3 linked regions of the Schizosaccharomyces pombe genome follow. Changing the gene in region 2 together with the main gene of any one other region gives a genetic interaction. Each region holds a gene or a part of one and is shown on either strand. Other genes may lie near its edges. The genes, in order: ubc6, alg8 and siw14.

Region 1 (3,410 bases), 3.3 Mb from region 2:
ACATGATAACGTTCGTTAACAGAACGAACGCCAGACAAAGCAGACTCGAGGATCCCCTTGAATTTTGAAGAAACGCCATAGCTTTGGTCTAGTTGAATACTCTTTTCCAAAGTTACATCGCTCAAATGATATCCGCGACTTAAAAGTTCAGAGATTATAGCTGAACGAGGCTTGTCTTCTTGACGAGCGGCTTGATCGCCTCCAGCACCTCCTTGATCGGTAGTAGAAGCAGCACCACCATCTTCACTGGTGATTTGGATTTTGTTTTGTCCAAGGAGAGCATCTTGCAAAAGTAAGGCCGTCTTGGTGGCGCTAGGGCGTTCAAATTGGATTTTCGCGGTTTGGGTTTCTCCAGATTTCTCGGTAGAGATGTTGGACACTTTACCGCAGAAAGAAAAGAAGTCTGAGATTTGTTTCTCAGTAACTTCAGGAGAGATGTTCGTTACAATAACTTGGTTGCTCATTACTTTTGTTTCAACTGGTAATATGGAGATTCAAAGTACGTTGAGTGCCATGGAGGCTGCTTTTAAGTAGTGATCATCGATGACGACATCCTCCCAATTACGATTAGATTGAGCCCAACGAAAAAACCACAAAAATGCAAAATTTCCTGACATTTCTAACTTGCCCTTAGCCTATATCACGGAAAGTTGACTTTGTGCTGCTTTGTTAATGCCACTACTTCATACTTTAAATCTGATATTACATTAATGAACGTGTGTTTTCAAAAGATTGCAATTATCGCGATAAGTGAGCCTAAATCAAAATGAAGCTGAAAATAGATGACAATTATCTTTTTATCTGAATATCACGATACAATTTTTATTGGTCACTGTAAACTAAATAGGATAACACTTAGATACTTTGCTGTACTCATGATTTCTTGACTTGGTATACTAGTTGGCTTTGTTCGTTGCATGGCAAAGTGCATAAATTGTGGAAAAAATATCCATTAAATTGCTATTACGAAGTAATTTCCGCTTCTACTATGTTTCGATAAATTCATAAACTTAGGACCGACATTAATTTTCCCGATATCGGCATATCCGGACAGTGAAAACTGATGTTTCTAGAAAACCGAATTTGCTGGATCGCCTTTACGGTCTTTCTAAAGAATGCGAAAGAAATATATGAATAGATTACCTCGCTTGTTCCTTTTCTCATGTTAGTCATCCAAATTGTTTCTTATTGAATAATGAGCAAAATTATCAGGTATATTGAGAAGGCAAGAGAAATATAAATGTTAGACCTACAATAAGTAAAACAAAGATAAGTTAAAGGCTTTCCTTGCTTCAAAGCATTTTTTAATCTATTTTCTCGATCTTACTTCCTCAATGTACATAGGTTAACAATATTTATATTTTACATTTGGGCTTAAGCTGCGTATAGAGAAAATAAAATATCATAAATATCATAGGTATATTGCTACAAAAGATAGAAATGAAAACCTCTTTTACAAGTAACTGTGTTATATTTACGAATTGGTGATTTGAATAAACCGTTGTACTTGAAGTTGGCACCTCACCTCGGAGTTTGTTGGTGTTTTATATTGATTAACCTACAAAGACACTTAGTCTAGTAGAGATTGTGCTTTGAATTTGTAAAAGACAAGAATCACCTAACTAGCCGCTAACCTGGTAATGTAACTGTGAGCGGATTATATGGTTACATGTTTTCTCACTTCCACAAACTTCACAAACACAACGATGGCGTCGAAAGGTGCTTATAAACGGGTATGGATTTATAATTTTAAGCTTCTTCTAATTATTTTAGTTAATGAAAGAATATCTAGCTCTTCAGAAAAACCCTGTTGAGCTTGTTGACGCTAAACCTGCAACTGAAAACATTTTGGAATGGCATTATATTATCACTGGCCCTCCGGACACTCCATATGAAGGAGGACAATATCATGGTATGTTTCTTTTAAATTTCCTTCTGTAATCAATATGTGCATGAACTTTTGGCTGTTGCCATCCTTTGCTAACTTTGCGTACAGGGACATTGATTTTTCCTCCCGATTATCCTTTTAAGCCACCTGCAATTCGCATGATTACTCCAAGCGGACGTTTCCAAACGAATACCAGACTTTGTCTTTCTTTTTCTGACTTCCATCCAAAATCCTGGAATCCCTCATGGATGGTTTCTACTATTCTGGTGGGACTCGTTTCTTTCATGACTTCTGATGAGATTACCACTGGAGGTATTGTAACTTCGGAGTCTACCAGGAGAACTTACGCAAAGGATACGAAGAGATTTAACATTATGGATAATCCTAAATTCTTAATAATGTTCCCCGAGTTAATTGACAAAAATAGGGAAGACATTGCCAAAGCAGCTGCTGAAGCGGCCCTAATCGAACCCCAACAAATTCACTCCACTCCTGTATCTTCCAATGAATGCAAGAAGAATGAACCGTTTAATTCAAAGCAAAGCTGGGTTAAAAGTCGCTGGAGCATAGCAGTTTTGGTGTTTTTTGCCCTTGCTTTAGCTCGTTTTTTTGGAGCTGATTCTTAAGATGTTATGCTTTGTATTTATTTTATTAACTTATGAAAGCGTTTTTGCATTTGATCCTCCGATAAAGAGATTAATGCCAAATAGCGCTTTGCCGTCCTTATATGTTTATTTTTTTTCTTTCGTTGCCTGTTGCCCCTTCATCTCTGCATCACATGTCGCGCTTCAATTAAAACTAAATGGAAGTTAATCTTTGTTCTAGTTTCTTTTTATAGACAATTGTCTCTTAGCAATTGCTTGATTTTTAGCTTACTAAACTACATTTTTTTAAATGTCGTCAAATGTTATTAAAGCTTCGACATTTCGGTAGAAAATAAAATTAAATTTTAGTTACTCAATTCATTATTTGTGATTTTCTTCAATCACTATCCAACTCGTTGCATATCCAGCGGCCACAATATAGGCCCAGCCTGGTAATTGAAGAGTTTTTGCATCATAAACATCTCTTTTATCATCATTCGAGGCATTTCCATGCTCATTCCAACCGTATATTAAAACACTTCCTTTCTTTGTCCTTAAAATATTGTGCTCAGTTCCACTGGCGATTTGGACGATATCACTTGCTTTTGTATGGGCCTTCTGAGCACGATCACAACGACCAAAAGCATAGACACAGCCTTCAGTACTTAATAGACTCAAGGTAGACCAGTTTGCTGATATAGAGCAGATGGAAGAAGACAATTCACTGTTATTTGCTTGCCAAGCATCACATTCTGCTGCTACATTCCACTTCTCCCCTCCTAAAACAATTACATGTCCTGTTTCTTGCAATACTGCACTGAACTGTACACCACATACAACAGCTTGAGCATGTTCAATACGCCCGAGAAATGAAACCTTGTTAACTGTTTTCATAACTACCGGTCCAAGTTGTCCTTTGCGGCCATCTCCACAACCAT
Region 2 (4,274 bases):
GCTAATGTTCTTGCAAGAAATGTTTTTGGAGGAGCTGAACTTCTTTCTGGTAACGTTTCATATGGAACTCGTAATCGGTCTACCATGTCCGTGAACTTTGAGACCCCAGTAAACGCAGATCCTAAAACCCGTTTACGATTCAATGGCCACAGTAACTTGAGAGACAATAAATCTATTTCGAGCCATGACTTACTTACTAAAGGAATTACGCTTTCATTGCAGCATCAAGATCTGTGGTCTGGCGAGCATTTACTTTCACAAAACTTATTGTGGAGGCAAGTTACTCATCTCACTGAATATGCTTCTCCAAGCGTACGACTTGAGGCCGGTGATTCATTAAAACAATCTCTTTCCTATACGTATACACGCGATACACGCGATCATCTTATGATACCCACGAAGGGAGATTATGTGAGGCAGACTTTAGAGCTCGCTGGGTTCGGATTTCTTCCAGGAGATGCGAGCTTTCTAAAATCAGAATTCTGGGGTCAAAAAGCTGTGGCTTTAAATTCTTCTAGGTCTGTTTCTCTTTCTTTGTCCGCCCGGATTGGAGCATTGCATAGTCTAAATAAGAAGCAAGTCAGTCTGTGTGATCGTTTCATGTTAGGCGGTTCAACTAGCCTTCGTGGTTTTTCAGAAGACCGTATAGGTCCAAAAGATGGCAGGGATTCTTTAGGCGGGACCGCATATATGGCTTTCTCCATGAGCTTGCTATTCCCTTTGCCAAAAGTTGATGCTTCTAAACCATTTCGCTTACAGTTGTTTGCGAATGCTGGAGGGCTATCGAATTTGACTTCTCCAAATCCATGTGGCACATACAAATCAATACTTTCTAAGCCTTGTATCTCTACAGGCTTAGGTTTAGTCTATGCAACTCCCGCTGCGCGTTTCGAGCTGAACTTTACCTTACCAATCGCTACTACCGAAAAGGATATCGGTCGTAAAGGCCTGCAATTCGGCGCGGGTATCGATTTCATGTAATGATTTTCCTTTTTAACTTTTTACTTTAATAAGGTCTCTACTATTCCCATCTCTGACTTGTCTGTCTTTTTCTCTCATTTATGCTAATGATAAGAATGTTACGGTTGACAATTGCTTTTACTGCGTTTGAATTAAATTTTCATGCATATTTATAATTGTCATACAAATATTTTGCTTTTGGTCAAGATTTATGAATTTCACAGAATTTCAATAACCATATATGAATAAATTTAAACGAAGATAGTTACATAACATCAGAGTATCTTTTGTATTTTTATTATTAAAAGAAGATTAATAATTGCAATTAGTCGAAAAATAAACTACGACTTTAAAATGAGATAGAAGAGCCTTTAATCCTTCTTTGAAGGTCTTGCTAGCTAGAAAAAGCGCATTAGTTTATGTTTGGGTTTCAGATATTTGGTTCGGAGTCTTTCCAGTAAATGCAAACCTAAGTTGTATGCAGCAGTAATTTGGTATTGGAAAATATGCTTACCAACTTTCGATTGTTTGCAAGCACGCGTATAACATGCTTTATTAATCTTTAATTTCCCAACAATAATGTTACGAGGTATATAAGTTTAACGAGGGTAGGGTCAGTTCAAAGTGTGCGTTTCAACTACTTCCATCTCTCAACTTTGCGAATCAGTCACTGGGAGGACATTCAACATTTACTTCATTTAGCTCATTGGTTTGACTTGAATGAATAATCAATAGAAATGGGAAAACTTTCTATGCTTTACAATGCAGCGATCGCTAGCACATTTGTAAAGGTATTTCTGTTCCCATCATACAGATCAACTGATTTTGAAGTCCACCGAAACTGGCTAGCCATCACCCATTCCTTACCGATATCGGAGTGGTACAAATCTTCGATTTCAGAATGGACGCTAGATTACCCCCCATTTTTTGCTTACATGGAATGTGTACTTTCATGGATTGCATACTTCTTCGGGTTTGACAAAGCGATGCTTGATCCTTATAACTTGAACTACGTTTCGCCATCCACTGTTGTATTTCAAAGAGGATCTGTTATCGTTTTAGAATTGGTTTTGCTTTTCGCGTTGCGAGAATATGTTCTATCATCAAATGTGAAGGATCAAAGAAATGCTCTACTAACAGCAATTGATATATTTCTGTCACCAGGTTTACTCATTATTGATCACATTCATTTTCAGTATAACGGTTTTCTATTTGGTTTATTACTTTGGTCTATCGTGCTGGCAAAGCCAGAAAAAAATATGTTATTATCAGCTGCGATCTTCAGTGCTTTAATATGTTTCAAACATATATTCCTCTATGTCGCACCTGCTTACTTTGTATATTTATTACGTGTTTACTGCTTTACTCCCAACTTTCGCCCTCAGTTTTTAAACATATTAAAGCTTGGTAGCACAGTAATTAGTATTTTCTTACTAGCCTTTGGACCGTGGATTTACATGAAACAAATACCCCAACTTCTCTCAAGATTGTTTCCTTTTTCCCGTGGTCTTTGTCATGCTTATTGGGCACCTAATTTTTGGGCCTTGTACTCTTTTGTTGATCGTGTTGCTTTTGCTGTTCTGCCGCGTTTTGGCTATGCACTAAATCAGGGAACGTCAATAAATGCTCCTACACGTGGTTTGGTTGGGGAAAGCTCTTTTGCTGTTTTACCAAACATCCCCCCAGCACTAACATTTTACATATGTCTCGGTCTTCAAATCACTGTTTTAATCAAACTTTTTATTAAACCCACATGGCGGGTTTTCGTGGGAGCTGTCACTCTATGTGGTTGGATAAGTTTTTTGTTTGGTTGGCACGTACATGAGAAAGCTATTCTGATGGTAATTCTGCCATTTAGCATATTGTCTTTAATTGACCGTCGGTACTTGGAAGCATTTCGTCCATTAGCGGTTTCTGGTTACCTATCATTACTTCCCTTATTATTTACTCTTAATGAAGCCCCTATAAAATATTTGTTTACAGGTGCTTGGATTGCTATGTTATTAACTTTTGACAAATGTGCGCCTGTTCCAGTTAAAAGAGTTTTCTTACTCAATAGAGTAAACATTGCTTACATTTCAGGATTTGTACCTCTTTTCATTTATAACTGTTTTATTCACAAGTTGGTTATGGGTGACAAATTTGAGTTCTTACCTTTAATGCTTTTAAGTACTTATGCTGCATGGGGTATTTTCTGGTCTTTCGTTAGTCTTCTCTGGCTTTATTTCACCGATTTGAAATGAGATAATGATATTATGATGTGCCATAAAAAAACAAAGGTTCCAACTCGAATAAGAAAAGCGATTCTGTTTTTAAGCTTGATTTAGCACAGATGAAATGGAAATACAAGGTCATTTTCATGTTGTGTTGGTTCCATAAACAAAATGTTTTGTCAGTAGATGAAATCTTAGATCTCTGTAGATGTTTTTCTTAAATTAATAGTCCCTGTCAAAAAGTCGTTTTTTTTTTAACATACTGTTGTTTCCTAAAATTGGAATTATATATTTTTAAAATTAATAGATTTACTAACACTTTTTCTTGATAATAAGCGTGAATTTGGAATTATACATTCTAAACATCCACAAATGAATCACTTAATTGACTTTTATATTTAATGTTGTATTATTAATCGTAAAGAGTTAAATTTTTCTTACTTCAGAAACCTCGTAAAATTAATGTTTAACAATATATTTTTAATATTCTTCTTGGCCATAACGATAACTCCCAATTATTTAAAAACTCACACGCAGTGAATATTCCAATCTTCTCTTTACCTACACTCCCACTTCTTTTAATTCCCAATCGACGATATGTCTAGTAATCTTATCAAATCTTTTGGATTAATAGCAATTGGAGCGATCTCGGGTGTAACTTTCACGCATTTTTATTATAAAGGATATCAAGGATCCGATGTACCAGACTTGACACCCAGGTATACCAAATTTGACTCTGCTGGTCGAGCCTTAGAATCTATATATGATTTTAATGCCACCAAATTTTTTCAATACGGCATACCAGGACCAGTGGCAGACCAAAGGGTAAACCATGGCTATATGTCTGTGTTCGATCGGAGAACACGAAATCCATTCTATGTAAGCAAAAACACCGTTTCCTAAGCTTTCTTTACCTAGGAATTATAGATCACGGCAATAGATTAAATGTTTAAATTTCTGGTCTCTCGGAGTGCATTATATTAATAATAAACTAGACAGCGGAAACCATTACACAAGAATCGTTGAACCAACGCAAAGGCAATCGCAGGTACTCTGAGTTCGTTCCAGATGATAATATTCCTGAAATGTTTCAAGCAAAGT
Region 3 (4,227 bases), on a different chromosome or scaffold from region 2:
AAAGCTATATCCCTGCTTATGGTATGTGAATCAACTTCACAACGTGAACTAACTAAATTTAGCCTTTGGTGGTGCTTGTATGCGAAATTAATTAATTCAGTATTTAGCTAATTTCTATAAAACAGTAATTGCTTCTGTACCTAGAGCATTTAAACGACCCTATGGCGGTCCTTTCGTTCCTGGTTGTCTTTTGTGTGGTGGATTCAATGCTATAGGAGGGTATTTACAAATATACTTATTTCTTTTGTACTGTTCTATTTTACTAATTACTTTTTCAGTCTTGCAATTGCTAGTGGTGGTAAGTGATTTTGGTGACTAGTATTCCAATTCATTATATGTTGCCTTGGTAAAATACATAGGAATTTAAGGATAGACGTTTGATTTCAAATATTACTCCTCACGATCATTAAGCAGCTTTTATGAATGTGTTCAATTTCGTTTTAAAAAGTTTCAAGTCTTTGCAACTATTAGGATTGTTTTTCATTTGCTTTTCGCAATTTATTGACCTTACGAATATAGACTTAACCAACGGTTCAGGAATTTGTACAGCTTGGTCAATTGCCTATCTAATGATTAATGCTACCAAATCAATCAAATCTTTTCGACTATACCCAATTGCTCTAACTACATTCGCAACTGCCAACGCAGTCGGTTACGGGAAAACCTTCATGAATGAATATTAAAAAGTGATATATTATACGATATATACAACGTTGAACCTCAAAACCATTATTCCAAAAAAGAAGACGAAGAAAACGTGGTGGAAACACCACCGTATTTTCTTCAAATGTACAGTTACTTACTCCTATGAAATTCTGTAAAAATTCCTCGGATAGTAAATAGTACATATATATAAGCAAACAAGTTTATGAAAGAATTAAAAATTATAAAAGAAAATGTTATGTAGGAGGTAAATCCTAATTATGTACCATCTGGTAGCTATTAAGCATTTAAGCTATAACTAGGAAAAAGAACAAAATAGCGAAAGACATATATATATGGAACAGCCAAGTGATAAACACAAATAGAAAAAGTTGAAAAACAGGAATACTCTATAAGGCATTCAATTACGAACCGGGAGAACGACAAGTTTCATTCACAGTAGCAGCTTGCACTGTCGGAGACTCACTGGACAAAACGACATCAGCTAATTCTGAAGATGAATCACTAATATACCGTTTCAAATCATTGAGAGAAGACTTTAGAGATGGATCTGATGAAAAGTTCTGAATATATTCTTCGTCAACTTCACGTTCTTTGGGATGTGAAAAGGATCTTTATAGGTTAACAATTGATACGAAAACAATGAAATAAATGAAAACTTACATATATTCCTGTAAACGATTTCCGACTGGCCAATTCATCAATGCTCTTAGACAACCAATTACAATACCTGTGCGATGCTTAATGAATCGTTAGCAAAGCAATAATTAAGAAAATAATCTAAAGAAAAGAATAACCTACCTTTCCACGACTGCAATGGAGCAAAACAGGCCAATTTTCTTTATTTAAAAGAAGTTGTAAAGTTTTTCGTACAAGATCGTCAACGTCTAGCAAGCGGGTTAGCTAATCAAAGTAAAGTAATTAAAAAAAAACTTGAAACAAGGAATGAAGAATAATTAAAATATCTTTTTAATTTTTAAACAAAGTGTGCAACAAGTTAAGATGGTGGAAAGCTTACCTGAAATGTCGGGATTTGAGGAAGAGGAAATGCAATCGTTTTTCCGATGTTTGCTTCCAGGCATGGCAATATGATAATAATTAATGTGATGTTTAGTGAAGTAGTGGAGATCCTCTTCGGAATACTCTTCTTGTCTTAATGATATAATGGTACGGATGTGTAAGGATTCCAGGAAATTGAAATTAGAAGCACGTGGACATGCAGAACGATAAATAATTCCAGGATAAACGACCCCAAAATTATCTGGTACAAGCGGTGAATTGGAGAATGTCGAGGCATCGTTGGAAGTGTCAACTACCTTGATACCATCTTTATGGGCATTCAACTCTAAGCAACAAACTGGTTTTGCCTGTTCTTCCGAATTCACAGAATGACAATCGTTTAAACAACTGTCATGACTCGACACCTCGGGTATAGACATAGAAATTTGGTCCCTATCCGAAGTAATTGATATCAACTTCTTTTCAAGTTGGAATGGAAAAACAATGGCCATCAATCAACTACCCTCCCAAGCACATTCGAAAAATAAAGAAACCACTTAAAATGTTTCTCTAATTATGAACGATTGATGGTGCCACAACCTCAATTTGACTACTTAAGAAACTTCTAAACGATAGCGGTACCAGGACGACAAGCGTTAAGACCTGAACAGTAAATTGGAAATAAAGTACTATACAAAAATACTGATTTGGCAAATTTTGCCAAATGTATTACTTTTCTGAGGATATTGTAGATTCTTGGTGAGGTAAGGTATTTAGCAAATTAACCGGAGCCGATGAAGATGCACAAGTATACGGAAATTTACGGCATATTTATGTAAGCTAGAGAAGAGAGGGACGGTACACAGAAGCCAGAAATCTTTCACTGAATACTCTTATAAAATGCATTTTCACCTTCTTTTATTTGCGCGAGAATCCTATTAAAAACTACTATTCCATATGTCTTTTTTCAACCAAACATCTGGCACTGTAAGTCTAATCAGTAAGTCATAGATGCTAAATAGGAAGAATTATTCAATCCATAATAAAAAAAAACACTATAAAAGCTACAATCGAGTGCAAACAAACAATTCTTTTTCAATACAAAATAAATCGATATAATTTCCGCGACTTCAGTAAAATGCACTATATGAAGCCAATGATAGGATTCTGAGGCAATCTGTTAAGGAAAAAACGGTACCTCTTTAATATTATATTTTGATATGAAAGATACTATATTAGTACATAATCGTTCATATGTGAGTGTGAAAAATTGAGTAAACAAACCAGTAAAAAAAAAGGAATTATGAAAAAAAATTGGATAGAATTAAATACTGATACAGAAACAAGTATTAGAAGTTGAATAAAAGTTGGAAGCAACCGCATTGTTAACGAGTTGAATAATTTGATGTTTCAACTCTGCAATGTTAGGATACCAGTGATGCCGAGCAGCTCATCGAATTAAAACATAATCGAAATATTCATGTAAAATACTATTAATATACAATACAAATTACATTCATGAGTGATAATACATTTGGATTCGCAAATTCTTCGCAACATTATACAAAGAGTATGAGTATTCTTCTGTCTATAATTAGCACTATAAATTATTTTAACTTATACAGCAAATGTCTACGGCCATACCTAGGCGAAAACACCAGTTCCCGTCCGATCACTGCAGTTAAGCGTCTGAGGGCCTCGTTAGTACTATGGTTGGAGACAACATGGGAATCCGGGGTGCTGTAGGCTTCCTTTCATTACTGTATTCATTTTTTTTACATTACTTACACATGTTAGTGAACACAATGAAAGCAAACGTTTCTAAAATGTTTCAACAGACACGGCATGGTATATTAAACACCGGAATGTCAATTACATATGGTTTTTAAATTTGAGTTAATTCTTCTGTAAAAAGATAGTACCTACTTCTTTTTTTTATAGAAGAATGCCTACAAACACGTTTCTCATTGACCATAATAATTTTGCTATAATTGATGCTAACTAATATTGCCTTAAAATCTCCTTATAAACTCAAAAATACAAAGTAATCTTTTTAAATTGGCTGTTTTCTCAATTATGTATAATTTGGCCAACCTCGATCGACTCAGTAATTAAAATTAAAGCCGTAGTGAAGCTTTCTCATACTCTCCAATATGAAATTAATTATTGTGTGCGCTCACCCATCATTTTATTTACTATAAACAGCACCGTGGTGAACAGTTATAGTAGTACCAAAAAACGAATCTAATAATCTAACCCCTACAAAAGAAGTCTTCTACACTTTAATATACATTGGAAAAATGTTGCTCGCGACAGTGGTAATTATTTGTAGGTCCAATAAAACACCCTTTTTCCATGTACCCCAACAAGAATAACTTTTAAAAAAAGAAAAAAAAACGGTGTAGCAGATTTTCATTGATGGAAATAGAACCACTATTTTCACATTGGTTAAATTAGTTTGATCCATTACCACCATATTTGCTGCGCCATTCTTCTTCCATGGACTCATCAATGCGGGTAAATAAGTACTCAGGCTCGCCAATTCTATGTCCAGGAAGTAAGCAA

What was found.
Region 1: mutations in alg8 (region 2) and ubc6 together harm fitness more than expected from each alone (negative genetic interaction), as found in Schizosaccharomyces pombe (one large-scale study listed by BioGRID).
Region 3: mutations in alg8 (region 2) and siw14 together harm fitness more than expected from each alone (negative genetic interaction), as found in Schizosaccharomyces pombe (one large-scale study listed by BioGRID).

Annotation. Positions count from the first base shown.
Region 1 is NC_003424.3:1,214,225-1,217,634, reverse strand, and holds ubc6 (ubiquitin conjugating enzyme Ubc6), read left to right. Parts: upstream 1-1,686; 5' UTR 1,687-1,706; coding exon 1,707-1,733; exon of another isoform or gene 1,734-1,773; coding exon 1,774-1,912; exon of another isoform or gene 1,913-1,996; coding exon 1,997-2,514; 3' UTR 2,515-2,847; downstream 2,848-3,410. Other genes in the region: RNA-binding protein Vip1, read right to left, coding at 1-464; RCC domain-containing protein Ats1, read right to left, coding at 2,854-3,410. UniProt on the Schizosaccharomyces pombe protein: Catalyzes the covalent attachment of ubiquitin to other proteins. Functions in degradation of misfolded or regulated proteins localized in the endoplasmic reticulum (ER) lumen or membrane via the ubiquitin-proteasome system.
Region 2 is NC_003424.3:4,485,491-4,489,764, reverse strand, and holds alg8 (dolichyl glucosyltransferase Alg8), read left to right. Parts: upstream 1-1,612; 5' UTR 1,613-1,697; coding exon 1,698-3,203; 3' UTR 3,204-3,621; downstream 3,622-4,274. Other genes in the region: sorting and assembly machinery complex subunit Sam50, read left to right, coding at 1-981; endodeoxyribonuclease Pnu1, read left to right, coding at 3,771-4,052, 4,169-4,274. UniProt on the Schizosaccharomyces pombe protein: Dolichyl pyrophosphate Glc1Man9GlcNAc2 alpha-1,3-glucosyltransferase that operates in the biosynthetic pathway of dolichol-linked oligosaccharides, the glycan precursors employed in protein asparagine (N)-glycosylation.
Region 3 is NC_003423.3:1,403,293-1,407,519, forward strand, and holds siw14 (inositol pyrophosphatase Siw14), read right to left. Parts: upstream 2,441-4,227; 5' UTR 2,175-2,440; coding exon 1,682-2,174; exon of another isoform or gene 1,658-1,681; intron 1,551-1,657; coding exon 1,465-1,550; intron 1,404-1,464; coding exon 1,327-1,403; exon of another isoform or gene 1,276-1,326; coding exon 1,068-1,275; 3' UTR 684-1,067; downstream 1-683. Other genes in the region: protein aim19, read left to right, coding at 1-21, 63-77, 126-219, 279-298, 520-683; methionine--tRNA (Met) ligase Rar1, read right to left, coding at 4,116-4,227. UniProt on the Schizosaccharomyces pombe protein: Cleaves the beta-phosphate at the 1- and 5-position of soluble inositol pyrophosphates. Has exopolyphosphatase activity in vitro but does not appear to contribute to the homeostasis of cellular polyphosphate.